Oreochromis niloticus: one gene and its partner. The protein of the gene in region 2 purifies or fractionates together with the protein of the main gene of each other region. This does not show direct contact. Links are inferred from orthologs where the notes say so. Each region holds a gene or a part of one and is shown on either strand. Other genes may lie near its edges. The genes, in order: mob2a and serine/threonine-protein kinase 38-like.

Region 1 (10,097 bases), on a different chromosome or scaffold from region 2:
AACACACACACTGATATACATGCATACACAGACTACTACTTGTGCTCCGACGCAAACAGCAGCCCAAGTCTGACCACAGCTCTTCTTTATGTTACAAGTTCCCCTTTTCTTGCCTCATCCAGCCCAGATTTACTCAAAAGTTGTTAAAATATTATTCCCCGTGTCCTTTTCACACTTTATTTTCTTTTATGTTCATCTTACTCAACCGACACCAGCAGTAGTGGAAACTAACTCATTAAATTTTATAGTCTTCAAAGGATGCTGGCGTCTGTAACGTCAGCACAGCTATGGTTCGGTTTCAGCTGTCAAAAAAAGCACACAGAAACTTAACACACACATCTAAGCATCCACACCCAGGGATGGAAAAGTGGAGTGGAAAACTGGGTCTAGCTGTGAGGTTGTGCAAGTTTCAAACAATGTCTGCCTTGAGAGGTCTTTTCCAGTGGTGGGAAGATGCCTCTCAGCTCTCAGCTTCTTCTTCTTAGATGCAAAAGGGAAAAAAATGCACTTCTTTCCATTGTCTGTTTCCTGGTTTGATGGTATGCAGGTGTTCATTGCCAGCAGATGGCAATGTTGATCTGACACCCAAGTCATACCTGTGTGGTCCTCTTCTCTCAGTCTGTGCACATTTTCATTTATACTGTAACCTGCAGCTAATGTTTTGCTTTGGTTAAAAAATGTTCTGAATTTTATCTGCAGTTGGGAAATCATTAAGATAAGTCTGTGCAAATTCCTGGATGCACACAATTGCAGGAAAAGAGATGTTTTTCCTGGTCTTTTTCAACTCTGTATGGGGTTCTGGGAACATGTGAAGGAAAGCTTTTGTGTCTGCAGCAATGCAAAGTTGTTACATATGCATATACCAAACTTTTTGCAATGTTTAAGCTTGTCTAAGTATTCCAAAACTTAGCCACATCTTTTGGTTGTCCTTGATTGAGGAGAATCCCTTTTAAGCACTCAGTAGTATTTTATAGATTAATGCAGGTCATCTGTCTCTCCTTCACCTTAGACTGTTAAATTTCAATAAAAATTGAATGTGCCATGTCATTTTAACCCTTGGAGGGTGTGTGTGTGTGTGTGTGTGTGTGTGTGTGTGTGTGTGTGTGTCGGGGGGGGGGGCTGGGTTTTGGGGGTTTTTTTGTGCACTGTTACACTTGACAGACAGGTGTTTGGCTGGTCCAAATGGTGAGTGCAGGATGCATAGAGACTCTCCTCTCCTAAGGAATGCAGGGAGGAGGAGTGCAGCGGGCAGCCAGGGCATGCTGTGACAACCTCCCACATGATCTAAACTCTTTCACTCTTTGCTTCTTCTCCTTGCTTTTAACTGTTATTCACACTTTTTCTCTTCTGTTTTTCCCCTTACGTCATTCTCTGCGGCTCAACCCTCTCACTTTATCACTCTCACTAATCTTAACTACTCGCTCATTCTCATTTCCTAGTCCTTTTATCCCCCCATATTTCATCCATTTCTCTCAGTTTCATTCTCAGTCATTTCTCACTGACATAATCCACGCAGCATCCATGGTGTTGGTGATTTATAAGCATTTGGATACGAGTCTGGAATTTCTCATCTCATGTCTGCTTCTTGCTAAAGTCCTGTCTTCCTTTAGCTTTAAACAAGAAAAAACACGTCCTCCTGTCTATTACACACAGTCTCTACTTTGCAAACTTTTTCATATTGAAATCAACTCAGTGCCAAAGGTTTGCAGCAAAATGTCTGAACTCCAGAGTAAGCTGACTTGTAACTCGCTTAAAGATGCAGCAGCAATTGATCAGACAGGTATAGTTCTTTGATGCCATTGCTGTTTTTAAATAGAGCATGAAGTTGGAACTCTGTTATGTTTGTTCATGAAGTGCTCACATATACCTCCCAAACAAGAATGTCCAAGTGAATTGTGAGCCAGAATGTAATGCTCTTGATCTCCTTGAGTTACTTTAAGACTGAACTGTTCTCTTTGTTTAACAAAGCTGTGTGTGCAGAAAGCAATGACATGTCTTTGCTTGTAGCCCTTCCCCTGCAGGAATGTAGAGCCAAGAAGAGATGAAGCAAAGGGCAGAAGAAAGCATATGTGCAAAGATTCAATGGCATAAAGGTTGAAGGGAGAACATGGTGGGCAAAGACTAGTTAGTCTTTCCTTCTGTAAGGGGCATGCTAAATTAATGTGAATGTTTTAATGCCATGTGCTTCATATGAATAGTGAGTTGAGACTGGTGTTAAAAGCACAGCTGCTTATTGCACTCTTTATAAGCCCAAAATTGTCTGTACAAAGTATGTGTAAGCACTTTCTAGCTGATCGTAGTCATTGAAGCTGCCTTTTTTGGTGGAGGTTTTGCATTTGCACAGACATACAGACCATACGTGCCCATTTATCTCCACAATTTTGCAGAAGGGAGAAAATTACAGATGTTGCTGCTTTTTTTTTTTTTTTTTTTTTTTTTTTTTTTGGATCAGATTTTTTCTTATTTTTGGTTGGTAGGGGGCCTGGTAGCAGATGCTATATTTTTATTAAACAGATTTTGCTTCTGCAGTTATGTACTGCAGGCCAGGTCGCTGGGTTCATGGTCCAAAGTGTCTCCCTGGCCCTGCTGACCTTTATCCGTGCCTATAGAAAACCCCCAGGCTCTAAAGACCTTCGGTCTGTGCTGTTGTTACTGCTTAAGACCTTACCTAAACACAGTGCACACTCCCACACGCCCAGAATGCAACACCAACAGGTCATATACAGCAACTTGGAACTACTCTGTTTCCGATTCATTTATTTTGGGTTTTAACACGGTTGGGTGCCTGACCTGTCTGTCATTTTGTCCCCAGCGATGATTGGCTGGAGAGTCACTGTGGCCAGACCAGGACTGGTCTGTTGCCAGGCCCCAAGGCGCATCTGCTACGGTCGTGACTCATGTAGCTCTGGCCTGGAATCAGTGTTTTCTTTGTCTTAAATACGTGGAATTTGTCCACTGACTTTTAGACTCAACCTGTTGAGCCAGCTCCAGAGATCACTGTTCACAAACATGTTTTATCCAGAATCTTCTATTCCACTTTATCATTTTAGTGATAATAAAAACTTTCAGCAGATTTTAACACATAAATTTGAATTCACTCGACGCCTTTTGCGCTGTTTTGCTTATGACGTCAGTGCTGTGGTGAATGAATATCTTACATTTCTTACAGTGCTTATTTTTCTTGTCTTATCTGTTGGTCTGATCAGTTCTGACTATAATTATCATGCTTAATGTTGTTTTGGGTTTTTTTACGGACATCAGATTAGGGCTTTACTCATCTGTCAGTATCAGTGATGTCAGTGTTTCCATAAATTGCCTCCATTTATTCTTTTTTTTTTTTTCTTTTCTTTTCACAAGCGTCCTGTTTTGTAATTAAATCCAATCCTTTGGCATCTCTTAATTAGGGTGGTCATTTTTGATTAGTTTAACATCCTTCAAGCAGCTTCCAGGTACTGATAAAAGTCAGTCTTTCTGTGGTTTTGCTTGTTAAACTAATCTACAAATTGTTGTTGCTGTGGATTTTACATCTGTAACCTTTTTTATAGTGGAAAAAAGTTCCTACACTTTCTCAAGAAGTACGCCTTACCCACAAACAAATGGATGTGTGTTCAGAGAATGGAAATTTGATCCTGTATCTGCATTACTGGCAGGTCATTACCGGACTTGGCCTTTTCTATCCAACCTTTCCTGTGTTATTAGTAATTTACAGCAATATCTGTTTTGTTGAAAGCAGGTAGCCTTGTCTGCGTATTTGAGGGGGAGGAGATTGTGATGCCAGCAGGGAGGGAAGAGTAAACCTCTGTGTGAGAGACAAAGGAATGTGGCAGTTGGTTTCCATTCACGTCAGACGTTGCATAAGAGAGGTCTGACTTGTACATCATCAGAATCCACATGGTCACACAGCGCTGCAGACTGCAGTCGTGATCACCTACTGCTCATTTAGTAAAAGAAAGGTCTAGTTTAGGTTAAGAGATGCCGCCTCATCTAATTTTCATGCCCAATTCACTAAAACGTTTTGTTCCCACAAGTGATTGTCGAGGCCAAGCGCTAGTGATCCTGAATGGATGTTTTCTATTTTCAGCAACCACTTGGGTCCAATAGTTAGAAGCAAATTAGTGGAAAGTTCCTCAAGCATGGGATTTCCATTATAGCGACACACTGTTTTCTCGTGATTACATGTAACACTTTTAACAGCAATATCACACTGTGATAGACCACATAGAAATGTGATTTTAGTGTTTATGATGTCCTGTAATGCGTTATTATAAAATTCCTTTTATGTTATTTTTCATCATTAAAATGACACCAAAAAGGATTGAAACTATTAGCAGTTTGAAGAACTTCCCAAAATGACAGTAAACACAAGCAGAAAATGACCAAGAATTGATGCAAATTTGCTGTACATTTTGGAATATTTAGAACTTTTTTTTTTTATGTTGCTGAGACCTGTAGACTTTTGATAATGACATATATATATATATATATATATATATATATATATATATATATATATATATATATATATATATATATATATATATATATATATATATATATAGCCCTCAAAACAAACTACTCCCACGTCTGATTATATATCCCCTTCTTACCTCTTGCTTACACAGTGACTGGTTAAGCTGCACACTTATTTGTTCCTGCTTACACACACACTAAGCCAGACACCCATGGCACCCCCCCCCCCCCCCCCCCCCCCCCCCTTTTTTTTATCAGTTTCTGTAGTCTTTATGATGAGGCAGGCTGATACTATAATTAGCATCTTAAGAACAGAGTCTGTGCCCTGTTCTGGTCTCTCTCTCGCTGTCTCTCTCCCCTCTTCCCCAGACTCCTCACAGCTGGTATCGGAGCCAGAGTGACTCAGTGTGCACCCGTAATGTGGTATGCAGGATGTGGGTGCAGAAAGGTGCCTATCTGACTCGCTGTCTCTTAGATTTTTTTTTTTTTTTAATCCATATAAGGGTTAACCATAAACAAGTACTACATATTCCTTACACACTCTGACAGTCTCTTCATCTTGCTCTTAAAACTGCATTCCCCGACTCAAGGCATGCACATAGCGCTACACAATCCCATAGATTTGTGTCCATGCATGAATCCATACTATAGCCAGGCAGGCACACTAAGTTTTGTTTGAGAAGATGGAGGAAAAACAGACAGTAAAGGAGTGAGGCAGTGAAACGCGCAGAGAGAGAATAAGAGGGCTCATCTGTTGTAAGGCAGTAATTAGAGGGAAGAACAGCGAGGGAATGATAACTTAGTAACACTAGTTGTAATCTTCTCATGAATGGAACATCTTCCACTTGTCTGTGTTCATTTACACTAGCACATTTTGTACTTAAGTGTTGTCGCTTCAGCTCTTTACTGATAATTTAATTAGAATTTATATCATACCTGTGCTTTTAAAAAAAATATCTCAAATGAGAAATGCAAAGAAACCTCCAGATGTTTTTTACAGATCTGCCTTTGGCTTTTAAGCAGGCTTTGTTTGATTGGCTCACTGGTTCTTCAGCTTTTACAGCATGTCTGAACTCGCCTGACTGCTGCCAGCCTATCATAAATGAACTCAAGTGAAGTTCAGAGTGAACAGAAGGAATGTTGCTCAGCATGCAAGACAATTAAAGTGAAGGAAGGTTTTAATGATTATTCTAACACAGGAATAAACGATTTTTACTTACACTTGCAAGGCTTTTCATCCACAATTTTCATTTTCGGCAGATGAGTTTGAGCATTATTTAAAATGCCTGTATTGGTTTTAGTTATATTTGCACCGACTTATTTTGTGAAAGTTAACAACTTTAAGAATGCATATGCAGTTTCACTGTTGTAAACCCAGAAACGGTCATGCTTGTGTAAATCCGTTGTATTAGAGCAGGTATATAAAGTCTAGCGACACCTTTTTATTGTGTTGTAGTCGTTTACCTGCGGACCACCTGTTGCTACATCGTAACTGCAATTCTGGGGAAAGGCTGAACCACGTCCACATGGGCAGACACTGACGTCACAACACCCCACCCCCTTTACACTTTTCTTCCCCTCTGTGATTGGACGAGGGCGACAGAGGAGGAGCGCCTTTCTGTAAAATGTGCTCACAAAGTTGTTTTTTTTTCTCTACCCTACAGTGAGTCACAGCTTCTCATAAGTCCCAGCGTAGTGTTTTTACAGGCAGACTACAGCTTAACAGTATTAAGGAGAGACTCTGACATCTGTCTTCATGTTTTAAGCTATGGTCAGAGACTCTTACTCCTTTTCTGGAGATAAGAAGGTCATGCACCCTCAGAGAAACTCTAAAACCGGACTAAGTTGCAAAATGGTGCTCCAGGCAGTCGGAAAAGTACTAAGGTAAAACTTACAATACTTTCGAATTAAAATATATTTGCTATTAACTTGAGTTTCTACCCTGTGTTGTTGCTTTTAATGAAGCGTGCAGTAGGTTGTTTTAGTGTTGGAAAGCTGCTTTTATCGAAGACGCAAAAACCCGCGTTGCCTTTGCGTGTTGATTTCACCGCCTTCTGATTACAGCAGCGATAACAGTCAAATATTTGTTTTGTTTTTGTATCTAAAACTAGAAAGTCTCTAGCCTGTGGTTAAATCAAGATAAACTTGCTGCCTCTTGTCTGCAGTAATTACACAAGTATTAGGCTCCTGTGATTCTGGGGTCAGTGCAAATTATCAGGATCACCTGAAAACTACTAATTCCTTTCGCTGCAGCTCTTAGCAAAACTCAACAAGAGCAGGAGAAATGTGACACTGTCTTCTCATCCAGTCTAATAAAATATTAAAGACGCCTGTAGTATTTTAACATAGTTAATTGTGTTAGTCACAGAAAATGATTACCCCCCTCCTTTTTTTCCCTTAAAGTAAAAATGATTAAAAGGTCAATTATTTGCCAAGGTGATGTGTAATTAGCCTTTTAGTTTATAAAAAAGAATTTTACTGCTATCTACTGGTCATGATATGAAGGCTCAGACTTAATACCTGAGGAATGCCTGACCCCAATATAAGGGTTAACTGTGTGTTTGTGTGTCATACAACGTGATAGAGCTACGCCAGTTATACAGAACAAATTCGTGTCCCCCCTCTTAGTGTCAGAGACCCACAGTCATTATGACTGTGTTCCTCCAGGGGACAGACAGTCATGTTAATGCTGTGATGAAGGTTCCTGTTACTTTTCAAGTCTTCGGCCAGGTGTGTTTCTTTTCAAGCAGCAGCCCAAAGGGCACATGCCTCACATCCTGTGGTGTTTTATGAAGATGTGGAGAGGGATGGTGAGGGGACTCTCCACTATTGTAGGTTCGCTTAATATATTCTAGGCTGCATATTAAGAGCAGCAGCAGAAAGTGTTGTTGTACAGTATGTTGTCTTCTGCAAGATCTGTGGCAAGTAGAAACAAGTTTTTCTGCTCCTTCTTTCTTGCGAATTCAACCCCTGTGCTCAAGAAATTAGCTGATCACCAAGAAACTACAGCCTTAATGTATTTGCCTCAGGGGTGATTGCGGGGAGGGCGAGTGGTTCCAGAAATCTTGAGTAAAAACTAAATAAAATTACCCTGTTCGGGTTAACAAAGACACATAGTTTGGATTACATAAGGTGGGTGGCACCTTAGAGCTTGTTATAGCTTTTGTTTTAACCTATTTCCTCCTTCAGTCAGTGATTCAATGCCCTTGACTTAGACGCTGGTATGAATAGAGGTTAGACAAAAGATGGCTTTTAGCTATTTTGCCTTACCTGTTCTTGTCTTTTTACAAGTAGATCGATCAGGGTGTAGAGAAATTTGCTTTATTTCAGTATTTTGCTTCCTGTTGTGTTAAATCAATTCAAGATTACACTCCCAAGTGGTTAAGTCCCAAACCCTATTCCTGTTACATGTTTGTTGTTATGATGATGAGGCTCGAATGTGGTGCTCACAGGGGTTTCTTGCATATTGTGCTAGACTGAGAGCCAGTAACTGGGATGTTTGATAGGATAACATGTAGAAGAAGAGGTAGCTAGGACAGGGCCAGTAGAGAGTGTGTGTGTGTGTGTGTGTGTGTGTGTGTGTACATTTACATATGTTTAGGTCTGCACTCTGGCTCCAGTTCTCATTTACTAATTTGCGTGGCTGCTTTCTCCCCCAGTAAAGGCGTTGATTAAGTGGTGACAGCTGCACTGTTGTAGTTTTTGTTTTCTTGTCCAAAAACTAAAATTGGCAAAATATTCAAACTATACTTAACTCTGAATAAGGCAATACTTTTCTGACTTACCAAGGCTGAACGTCAGGTTTAGTCGATGCTTAAGTCAGTCTCTTTTTTTAAGCTCTGTAATGGCTGCTGTGGTGGAGCTTTGGTGCGCTCAGACTGCTTGCTTTTTTCCCCTCTTTGTGGTTTTTCAGGGCAGGGTGCCATTGGGTCTATTTAATTTAAGTCCTGAAATAGATCAGCAGACTTGGAGAAAGCTGCTTATTTAACAAAATAGCAGAGTTCATTCACTCCATCCTGGTCTTATCATGAAATTTCAGTATTATCCCGGGTTTTATCACACTTGTTTGGTTTTTTTTCTTCCTTTTTTTAAACTTGACTAGCATAATAATAGGCTTAGAAATGAGACTGTCACGTGTTTTTTGAGGTCTGGGCATGTTTTATTTCCTCGCAATATGACCTTCAGTGGATGCCAGTGCTTTTTTGGGGGGGGGGGGGGTTCTAAGAAGAGAACAGAGAGTTGCTTTATATTTATACATTTTTGTTTATTGTGCCAGTGCATTTGATTTTTTTTTATTAGTCAAATCAAAGCTCTTGATATAGAAAGCAGCTGTCTAAAAGAAAATGGTAAAAAGAATTTGTCAGTGTCACCCGACCAGATTGCATTAAATGCGTCCATATGCCATTCGTTGGATACCCCTGTTATCGAAAAAGCCAATTCAAGCAACAGTTGTGTAATATGTTGCTTGCTGGGAGCCAGAGGCTCAAGAGGAACATGGGTTTTGTTGAACAGGTTTTCTTTGTTTGTGTTCAGCTCACAGAAAAACCAGTAAAAACTGAAAATGTTGGGGTTTTTTTTTTTTTTGTTTGTTTGTTTTTCCAAGCATTAATGTCAGTGATTTGGTGATATGGGGTGATTTAATAATTTGGTGATATGGAGATGATTAACTATGGAAACAAGAAGTCGGCATGGTCTGAATACTCCTGAAGCAATTTAGTCGCCAATTTATGGTGTTAGAGAAACTACTGTAGTAAATTCTCCAAGATAGGGCCACATTACCGCACTATCCGATGGCATGATTAATTGGAACCAGATTCTGGTAATGAGATGGACTTGCTTTTGGCGCACCTGCAAGAGGGTTCCCCCTTTCTGTTAGACGAGCCTTTTGTAAGAACCAAGCGTATTCAGGATTGATTTGGCCCACAGTCAGAAAATAATCAGCAGTTAACATTTGCACGTCATGTATATGCATGCTTGGCTTGGTTGATGCTCGTGTCTACACAAACAGTCTTTCAGACCAGATAGAACTTGCTTCTTCTAGTTTTTCTCTGGTGGGATCAGGCTCACGACACAGCTGTTGTCACCAGCTGGGTTAGTGGGGCTACTGCTAGGGGTGTGTGTATGTGTCCGTCTGTGCGCGCAACACACACAGCGCATTTGCTCTGTACTTTTGGTTTGTACAAGAGGAAAGGTAGTGAGAGAAGATGGCTTGATGGTGGGGGAGGTGGCATTGCTGGGAAAAGTGAAAGGGTGAGAGTGGATAGCGGATGGAGTTGAACAGCTGTCGGGTCAGTTACTCCACAGCTCTGCAGCACTGTACTTTGCCTAACCTGTGTAACAGCCCTATTTCCTTTTTGTTTTCATTGCAGATAAACACCAGCAGGTTTCTTCCTGCTTCTCACCATCCACTCATAAATAAATCAGGTTTACATGTATCTCTCTATTATGAGGCCATAACGTAGACCTGTTTCTGCTGGTGCCAGGCACACGTTCCTTTTCTCCTCCACACTCCTGACTTCTGGATTGCCCTGATCTGCCCCTGATCTGGCGAGGAGAAAGAGGCATCTGATGCCTTTTATGGCAAAAACTTGCCTTGGAGAACATTACCAATCAGAAGGTTGTGTGAA
Region 2 (10,136 bases):
GGCTTGATTAGCTCACAAGGAGATAAAACAGTCCTGCAGGCCAAAGATAGGACCCGTGTTTCGTCTAGTCACCGGTCCTTTTCCCGTTATGGCTCTGCAATCCCACAACAACAAAAAACATTTCCTGACTTCTGAGAAAAATCCTGAATCACTGCTGCAAACTGGGAGGAAAACTGGATCGGTAGCAAACAATGGCTTCTGAGTTAGCGAGGTCTGTCCTGATGTACCTGCACACAGCGCACGCTGGGAGCTCAGCCTACCAATAAAACAGCAACCCTGAGCATGCACACTTACACTTGTGCATTCACATGGGCAAGATGTGACGCAACTTTTTTAAGGTTTCCATCAGCTACGACTGGACCTCTGTGTACTCTACCTGCAAGCACACTTTTCTTCATAAAGAAGTGGATACCACACCACCTCAGCAACTATTAGAAACTACTACTTTAGATGTCACTCACTCTGGGACACAAGTTTATTTCTCTGTGACTGCAGCTAATATTTCAATTGCTGACTAGATTTATGATTTTGACTGATGATTAAGCACCGGCTAATGGCTGGGCCTTGTTTAATAAGACTGGACTTAAAAGAAAGTGCATGAATTATAGACATATACCTCCCTATCCTCACCATTAGACGACTTTATTGACACGATAAGAGCACTCTGGAGAAAAAGGATACCGTATTAGCTAACCCAAAGTGTAGGTTATCACGGAGCCATCGTTTAAATGTATAAATGGGGAGGGGTCACATCCTCTGCATGTAGTCAAAATGTCCATCCAAATATTGTGGAATCAAAAAAAATGTTGCCACGCTACAACTATGCACCACTGCCTTAAATAATCTTCAGATATATAACCATAAATAACAAGTAAACAAATTACCAGCAATATTATGAGCTGGTGTAGTATTGCATGTCTACAGGTGGTTTGTTCAAGTGGTGTTGCATTAACCCAGCAGAAGCTGTTGCTCAATTGCTGTGGGCTTGTATGTATACTACTGTCGTCTACTGTGCAGTCTCTCCATTTCTGACTACTGCCATGCAGACATCTATCCTGAGTCTCCAGTACTCCTGAAGTCTCCCATAAAGTGTTCACAAGATAAATATTTAGGGCTCAATGAAATACAGAGTCATATACAGAGCTTCAATATGCACAGCTAATGGTCACTCTTAACCAGCTAGCTTGGGTCATTCCCATCTCATGTTTCCCTATCTGAGCCGGTCCCCAGACTCTCTCATTCTGCAATCAGACAAACATCAGTGACAGCAGTCCTCGTTCAGCCCGAGAGAACCGATTTGAGCTGGAGCATCACTCTAACCAGAACCAGGAGGAGGCGGAGAGCTGATTAGTTTGACAGCAGACCGAGCTCACCGGTGAGGGAAGAGAGCAGACCGAGGACCGCCGTTTGCTGCGGTTCAAAAAGCGAAGGTGCAGCTTGCCTAGGAGACGCTCAGTTGAAAAGCAGCTGACTATTTCTTTAGTGCTTATTGTCACAAAGTAACAGTATTATTTTATGCATTTTACACAGTTGCATTTGCTTTTGCACACATAAACACTGGCGTGTACGAGGAGCAAGAGTTTCACTGTATGTTCATAATAAATGCCCTGATGGACATTTATTCCTCCCGCTGCCTCAGCAGAGCAGCAAACATCATCAAGGACAGCTCCCACCCTGGTTTCAACATGTTCAGCCTGCTTCCCTCAGGGAAGCGCTACAGGTGCATCAGCACAAAAACCCACAGACTCAAAAACAATTTCTTCCCTAAAACCATAACCACCCTGAACTCACACATGCACCGATAACACAGCCCCCCCCTTGAACACATAAGTTACCATGCAGACTAAGATAAATGGGTTATACAAAAGAGCTTGTTTGCTATCTATCTATAATAAGAATAATTTTGCTTAAAATAAAGATTGTGCATTCTTATTTTATTCTTGGCTAGGAATAACAAGGTGTCATGACTATTGTGCTGGCAGAAAAAGCACCAATATTAGTTAGAGCCTGCATGCTATTGGAATAGAGCTGAACTAATCCAAGATAACATGGTGTTAGGTTTAAATTATCTTGATGACAGTCAAACAGTATATTCAGTTCTTTCATTTAGTTTGATTGAGCTGTTATTTTTTATCCATCTTAGAAGAAGAAATTTTCACAACCTATACTGGATAACCTGGATTATCCACATCGAAAGGAAATGAGTGGAAAGATGTGCTTTTCGTAATATGTGAAAAGAGACTCAGAATTTCCCCTCATGGAGGTTTTTTTTTCCTGGTTTTCCCAACAAGGTGGAAAAAGGGCCATAATTTAAACAGTTACATCATAACTGAGCCAGCCAGGCCTTAGCTCTGCCTAAAGGGGATTCAGTTGGCTTGAAGATAACCAGATCCACCCCACAGCTAAACAAACACGGCTGCGCAACTCAGGCACTTATAAGGAAGGCATTACCAACTCGGGCTTGCTATTTAGAAACTTAAGAATGCAGCCTAAAACAGCCCACCAGAACTGAAATACACCAGTGGCTCCAGTAAAGCATTCAGTCCCAATGAAAGATAAGCGTCCAACCATAGGAACATTATTTTTAGCCAGTTCTAATGAGGATTTCCCGTCTATCAAGCAGCTGTAATTATCAGAAAATAATGGAGATTTCTTTCAAACAAGCTAACACAGACTCATTTCCTTTACTCTTCACAGGCTGTTCTCAGGTCACCAGCAATGGCAACATCTATTCATTTTACACAAATCAAGTAATACATAATATATACATAGCTTCTTACACTTAAAATAAAGTGTTGCTGGTAGCTGCCAGATTGTTTGACTACACTTTCAAGTACTAAACACCTCCAACAGAACAACATGAATGATTTTTAGCTAGTAAGAAATTATTTCCTAATGGAATTCTGAGATCTGTGGATCAGCTTGAGATTATCTGCATGAGAAGAAGCCAATGTCATACAAGCAGGCAAGCTATAACCCAGATGAACCACTGAACTTTAAAATCCAGCCTGCTGCAGGTGTTTCTGGAGAAATACTTTACTTTGAATAGAAAGAAGAATCAGGACAGATGTAGCTCAGTGTAACCGTTAACCACCAATTTCTCAGTTTTGTGTGAAAAATTCTTCAGTTTCACACACTCCACCCTTAAAGCACTCGGAGTGAGTGGACAGGAAACCCTTTCCCTCCCGAATGAAAGAACTCAGTCATGAATCAACACACAAATGTGCGCTTACGCACAGAGAAACTGTGAAAGCATATGTTCCCCTGAACAGTATGTTTATTTTAAGCTAAACAGCCAAGTGTGTGTTTAAAAACTCACAAAATGCTTCCCGGCAAGAGGAACTTGAAGTGTATTAACAACTTAACAAAAGGACATTTATCTCAAATACATTCTGAAATCCAATCCATCAGAGAGAGCAGTCAGTTCATATTAGAAGTGAACAAAATGTATGGCAAAAATGGCAATTTTTAAAAAGCTTTTCACCCTTTACATGTGGCGATTAACCAGTTACCGGTATGTACACATGCACATGTTTGCCTTAGCTAATGTTTCCCGGCTCACCTACACTGACGCCACCCTGTCGGACCTCTCCTACCATAGGTCCGCCACTGCTGCATGCCTCACACTAGGGAGAATATTCACTGCTTCTTTCTTGTATTTAGCTTGTTTGACGCTATGCTGTCCGAGCTAGCTATTTGCTACATTCCCTTTGCGTGTCTGTGTGGCAGGTTCAACTATATTAATAAATTCAATTCGGACAGCATAAAAAATGGACAGCATTTTTTTTTTTTTAAATAAATCTTTTTCACTTACCTCCGTGTCCTGCTCCAGAGTCAATTATTGGCGTGCCGCCAGGCCACGACCCAAATGAAGAAATTAAATGTCTTATATCGTTTCTGCCTAATTTTTTAGGCAGTTGGAAGCTAGAGGCTCTGGTTATAGGCTACCCCTTAAAGAAACCTATGAGGCTCCACAGTAAACATCGCCGCTATTAACCTCAAATCATAACAAAAGACCTCTGACGGTGAAAATACCCCACGCCAAAATAATTTGAAAATATTTTACCGTCTGTACATGTGGCAACCGACCCCCCCAAAAATACACTGTTCCCCTCGGACCTTTATCGCTACAAAATATGAAATAAGCTCCGCTGCTTCCTGAGACCGTCGGGCTCATCAGACGTTCCGACAACGCAACGGCGTAGCGCCTGAATGACGCTAACGCCGACCAATCAGCGATGACTAAAAGAATCCGTGTTTCCTTCTGCCCAATAAAACGTGGCCTCTACATAAGAGTGATAGATTGGCCAATAGCATCCAAGCCGCCCTGCAAGAGTTGGGGACGGGTCCAGTTAGCAAGCGTTTGCAGCTATGAAAGAATATACAGTAGCTCCAGCGGTTGGAGGCTTTGTTACATAATTTTATTGGTTGTGCTTAGCGCAAATCCTTACTAAAAATAGCTGGTATTATTCTAATAATTTGTAAGGATTAAATGGTACTTTACCGTAAAATGTTCTTCACACATAATTAGGAAATAGCGTATGAATGAGAGGGTATGTAAGGCCAATAAAAGGTCACATTGGTGATCAATACACAATCATCAGGTTTCTAATTGTTGACTAAATGAAAAAGCTGCAGGATTTAGTCATACTGAAATCTTACTGCTATTCAAAATTTAAGTAGAACTGATCTAAACCACACGGATATTTTATTGGACTACGTTTATCTAGTGGCAATAAAGCAGATAGAACGTAATAAAGTATGATAAGATAAAAGTCACACACAGTCCACATTTATAACACTTTCTATTAAGGCACAATCTGAGACCTTTGCCATAGCAGTTTGAGATGATAACAGCGTGTCTGCCTCCAAACCGTTTAAAAAGTGGTCATTGTTTAAACTAGAAACCGAAATGAATGTGTCCACATTCCAACATTGTTACAGTAGAGCCCTTCAAAAGGGAACTGACTTGTTTCCTTAATAATCCCATCAGTGGTGCTTAGAAATGTCTTCACCCTATCTGGACTCTTTCATTTCCTTGTACGTTGTGTATCCCAAAGGTCTATAGGACAAAGAACATTAAAGGGAGAAGCTACACTAATCACATGTGAATGAAAACGCAGATAACAAAATTGGAGCACAGACAAAGTTTTGTTGACCAAACCACGGCGGCTCACAGTGAAAGGTGAAGATTTGCTGTCATAAATCTCCTCATTTGGGCGGGTTAAGTGCTTTTACTGTTAGGACCATGATGTCAACATGCAGACAGGCGGGTGGGTCCCGCTAACACGTCTGGGTGTGGTGGCCAGCAGACAAGGCTGTTTTTATATTTCTCACATCAATGGAGCCCACTGAGCTGTGACACAGCACCTATATTTAGATTTGGGCTATAAACTCTCTGGCCTGCAGCCTAGGTTTCACAAAGTTCAGTCTGAAATGGATTCAGCCAATATGAAAGCATTTGTTTTGCAAAAATCAAGATTGTACGGCATGACTTGTGAAAATATTTTAGTTGCAAATATGACAAAAGTCATTTTTGCTCTTTAGATTTTTTTTTATATCATGTATCAGACTGACTAGGAGTTAGAACAGAACACATGCATATACATAACTTTCCGTAATGTGAAATTTTCATGCCTTTTACTGAAACGTTTCAAACCGTCGATAGAACCAGATTATTGAGTTGTTTTTTTTCCCCTCCTTTTAAAGTCTTTTTCTTTCACTATTGTTTTTGTCAAAACACATTATGAAATATACAAGAGCCACAGCTTAGTTCCTCAAAGCTGTGTCCATCAGAATTTCCTTTAAAGGTCACATGAACTGAAATGTGGTCATTCTTTAATTGTAATCGTTTCCTGGTAAAGGCTCGCAGTACGTCAAGTCAGTTTCTGCTAGCGTATCAGTTCAAATGAAAAAAAACGAAACTGATGCAATGCCACGAACAAACTCCAACAATTAACATCACCCACATGGTTAATGTACAAATGCTTGTGGTAACAGTTTGCAAATTATATAAAAAAGGGACGTTATTAACACTTATGTGGCTGTCCACGGTTTATTTAAAGAAAATACTTCAGAGAGATGAGCTATGATGGTTTAATTGAATATCTACAAAATCAGACATAAATATATAACATATAGTGTACATAAATCACAGAACACCTGGCAGATTGGTCTCCTCAGACCCACGGAGAAGTTTTTTTTTGTTTTCATTTTTTAAAAATAAAAATTTCAGGAAAAAGAGGATCCGTGTGCATGTAAAGACACCATCTTTCATCCTTCTTTAGCTGAGCTGCAGAAATGACGTTTCAAAAACAAACAAAAAACATAAAGATGACCTCATCCACACAGAACCGCTTCAGCATCTACATTTTCACACATTTGACATGTGAACACACACCACATTTGGCAGGCCTATTGTGGCTGAAGGCAAAGAAAAAAAAAATAGCTGAAAAGACTGAAAATTGTCCAGAATCATATTATGCATTCCTCGGGTCAGGATTCAGCCGGTGACGGCTGGCTAGGTGCCCCGTTGCGGGTGCGGAGCTGGGATTGGGCGATGTCAGCCAGTGCACTCTGGATCTTCTCCAGCAGCATATCGCCGCGGTAAACCACCTCTTCCAGCCGAGCTGCTGCCTCATGGTTCTCCTCCTCCAGCTGCCGCAGACTGGCTGCCTGATGAGAGGTCACAGACTGTCAGATTTAATGAAAACAGCTTAAGTGTTTTTATTTGCCCTTTTGTGAAGCGTCAAATAACTGAGTGAACAACTGAGTGAAGGTTTCCTTTAATTGTGTGCAGATCATGACTGTATAACTTGGGAGCATCAGATCTCACAGTAACTGACAGAATAATAAAAGAATTCCCACCTGGTACACCCAATATCCCCACACAACGCAGGTGGTGTGTGTGAGCAACTTTTAAATAGTTGATGAGAATCACTTTGTACAAGTTCTGTTTCACGGTTCAAAAGCTGCCATCAGACTGTGACGAGATTTCATGCATGATTCACAATGTGTGCAGAAAGTCTCCTGAGACGTGGTCTTACAGCTGATCGTTTCTAACAGCTTTGTATGACAGATGTCTTTTTACTTTACATCCAAAACCAGTTGCGTGTATTGTTGGCCCTCAGAGAGCTACAGGGAAACCAGAACTTCTGGGCTGTGGAAGCCTCATTCACAAAATTCCACTGACATCTGACAGCACTAAGATCTAAAAAATGCTGCCCTGTGGCCCGCATGAAAATAGAAGTATCCTTGCAAAAAGACCCAACACCACTGATTATGCAATATTGCTCGGGTGTTTCTCAGAAAGACTGACGACTACTGCTCCGAGTTATAAAAAGCTAGAAATGACATGGCTTACTTTCTTATAACATTACCTAGAAATAAATATCATACTTGTTTGAGAAAGAGTAGCACCTACTCGGGTCAGAAAAAGCATGTGGAGCTTGTAATTACATTAAGCATAATTGGTGTTTATTGTTTCTCTCTTGAGTGAAGGCCATAAAGTATTAAAAGTGTTTTTGCATTTTGTCTACTGATAAAAGTCTCTGGAAACAGATCAAAAAGTTAGCAAGTTTTCCGAGTACCATTACTAATGTAATGGTACTCACTGGCATTTGGCATTTGTGAGTAATGGTACTCACTGGCAGTACTGTGTATTGCACTCAGATATGCTTGCTGGGAAACATTCTATTCTCAGTTTTCTGTTCTTTAATCTATTCTAGCCTAATCTAATAGTAGAAAGCAGTGCACAGGAAAGTGACATTTGATGTCATGTATCTTTCTATTTACAGGAGAGAGATCAACACAAGAATGATTGTTGTTGTCTTTAACATATTTCACTATAGACTATAAACAGTTTGCTTACACACAAAACACACTGCCCCATCAAACAGAGAATATGGAATGTTATTCTAAAGAGTGTCTGTGCGTGCTAATGTGACAAAAATACTAACATCAAAGCAGGATTAGTAAATTTCTCCTGCTCTTTTATTTGTTTTTTTTACATTAATGGGGAAAAAAATCTCTGCAGAGACTTGTGAAGTTGGCATGAAAGCAACAGTATGAACTTTTAACTGGTTCCCTCTGCTGACTGATAGCTAGAAATACTCACGGGAAAATAGAATTAATACATTGAAATATATATACACACATGTGAAATAGTCAGTGGTACTTATGAATGTGCTGACCTGCAGAGCTGCTGTGGACTCCTCGCTGGGCAGAGAGTCTATGAGTACATCCACATCTTTGGCTGTTCGGGCTATAAGGGCTGCAAACAGCTGGGCATACTCTAAACAGAGATCAAGAAAAACAAAATACAGGTGAATCATCATGCAAATCATTAATATATATAACAGAACATAAACACACACTCCACATGCTTTTGAGCTACAGAAAGTAGCCCCCTCCCTTTTTTTATAAGAGAAAAATCATTATGTACCATAGTATTTAGAGTGAAAAGATAAAATGTCACTAAATATTGAGTAAAATGTAAAGAAGTGGTGAAACTAAATCATTTAAGTTGTAGAGAGACATTCATCATGAATGATATGCAGGTGTAGTGATGGAGACCCGGTGTTGTATGATCAGGGATGACTACTGTACAAAGCACTGTGTGGACGTCTTCATTCCTGTTTCAGACAAATTTTTTGAAGCTAACAAGCTGTTCCACATTATGTAAGCCAGTCTGTACTGCATTTATGTCAGTTTGCATAAGATTTTGTCCATGTAGCCTGATAACTTTGGGTATGCAACCTCTACAGACATGCTTGTGTGCAGTGCTCCAAGAGATCAACAGCACATGTAGCACTGGCTGACAGTGATAATACTAGAAACTAATTTGCTGAAAAGTTCACTTTAACAGGAAAGGGAGTAACAGAGGAGTTCACCACAAAGAGGAAACAGTGGCAAAAAATAATCAACAATAAAAAAACCAGCATGAGAAACACAGACAGTGGATACGTAGAAAATTTTCAATACCGTGTTCCATTTCACTGCAAAGAAGTTATTTTTATATTACGACATATCTTTTCTGTATCAGGGTCGAAGTTAAAGGAGAAACTGAACAAATGCAAACAAGTCTAGCTCTCAGACTGTTCCACATAATTGTTATACTGCCCTCTGGTGACAGCACACAGCTATGACATGTACCAACACACAGCTATACTAGGCTGGGAATCACCAGACACCATTTGATACCACAATTTTACAATATATTACTGTCATTTTCAACATTATGGGATATGCTAAATATTGCAATAACATATAGTACAATTTATGTCCTCAAAGTTAAACTTTATCAGTATCTGTTTTATCCAATGAGATGACGTAATCTCACTGCAAAATGAGATTGTCAAGCATCCCCCATCACTGTTATTAAAAACTGCCATAAATGTTACTATAAGATGGAGTCATTATGACTGATATCAGTCTGAGGTTCGATGGCTCAAGTTGGCAATTACATGCAATCTGTTTCTGATAATGTTGAGCTGGTTACTGTGTTTGTTGGATTCCAAACATAATGAAGTTGCACAGTGACCTCTGGTGGAGAAGTTATGCAACGTCACCATCTTTGATGAGTGTTTCTCTCATCTCCTCTTGAACTTTAATTTTTTTTTATATTTATCCATCCATCTTCATCCGCTTTATCCGAGGCCGGGTCGCGGGGGCAGCAGCCTAAGCAGAGAAGCCCAGACCTCCCTCTCCCCAGCCACCTCCTCCAGCTTATCCGGGGGAATACCAAGGCGTTCCCAGGCCAGCCGAGAGATATAATCTCTCCAGCGTGTCCTGGGTCTGCCCCGGGGCCTCCTCCCGGTGGGACATGCCCGGAACACCTCACCCAGGAGGCGCCCAGGAGGCATCCTTGTCAGATGCCCGAACCACCTCAACTGGCTCCTTTCGATGTGGAGGAGCAGCGGCTCTACTCTGAGCCCCTCCCGGATGGCCGAACTTCTCACCCTATCTCTAAGGGAGAGGCCAGCCACCCTTCGGAGGAAGCTCATTTCTGCCGCTTGTATCCGCGATCTCGTTCTTTCGGTCACTACCCACAGCTCGTGGCCATAGGTGAGGGTAGGGACGTAGATCGACCGGTAAATTGAGAGCTTCGCTTTTACACTCAGCTCCCTCTTCACCAC

Evidence for each region.
Region 1: the proteins of serine/threonine-protein kinase 38-like (region 2) and mob2a purify together in Homo sapiens (affinity purification with mass spectrometry; 9 studies listed by BioGRID and IntAct, counting the BioPlex papers as one, with this or other methods). This does not show direct contact. The link is inferred for Oreochromis niloticus from reciprocal best matches to the Homo sapiens genes STK38L and MOB2.

Annotation. Positions count from the first base shown.
Region 1 is NC_031972.2:60,145,839-60,155,935, forward strand, and holds the start of mob2a (MOB kinase activator 2a), read left to right. Parts: upstream 1-6,114; 5' UTR 6,115-6,238; coding exon 6,239-6,354; intron 6,355-10,097. UniProt on the Homo sapiens protein: Stimulates the autophosphorylation and kinase activity of STK38 and STK38L.
Region 2 is NC_031981.2:34,724,930-34,735,065, reverse strand, and holds the start of serine/threonine-protein kinase 38-like, read right to left. Parts: upstream 4,222-10,136; 5' UTR 3,815-4,221; intron 1-3,814. Other genes in the region: med21 (mediator of RNA polymerase II transcription subunit 21), read right to left, coding at 6,496-6,693, 8,193-8,293. UniProt on the Homo sapiens protein: Involved in the regulation of structural processes in differentiating and mature neuronal cells.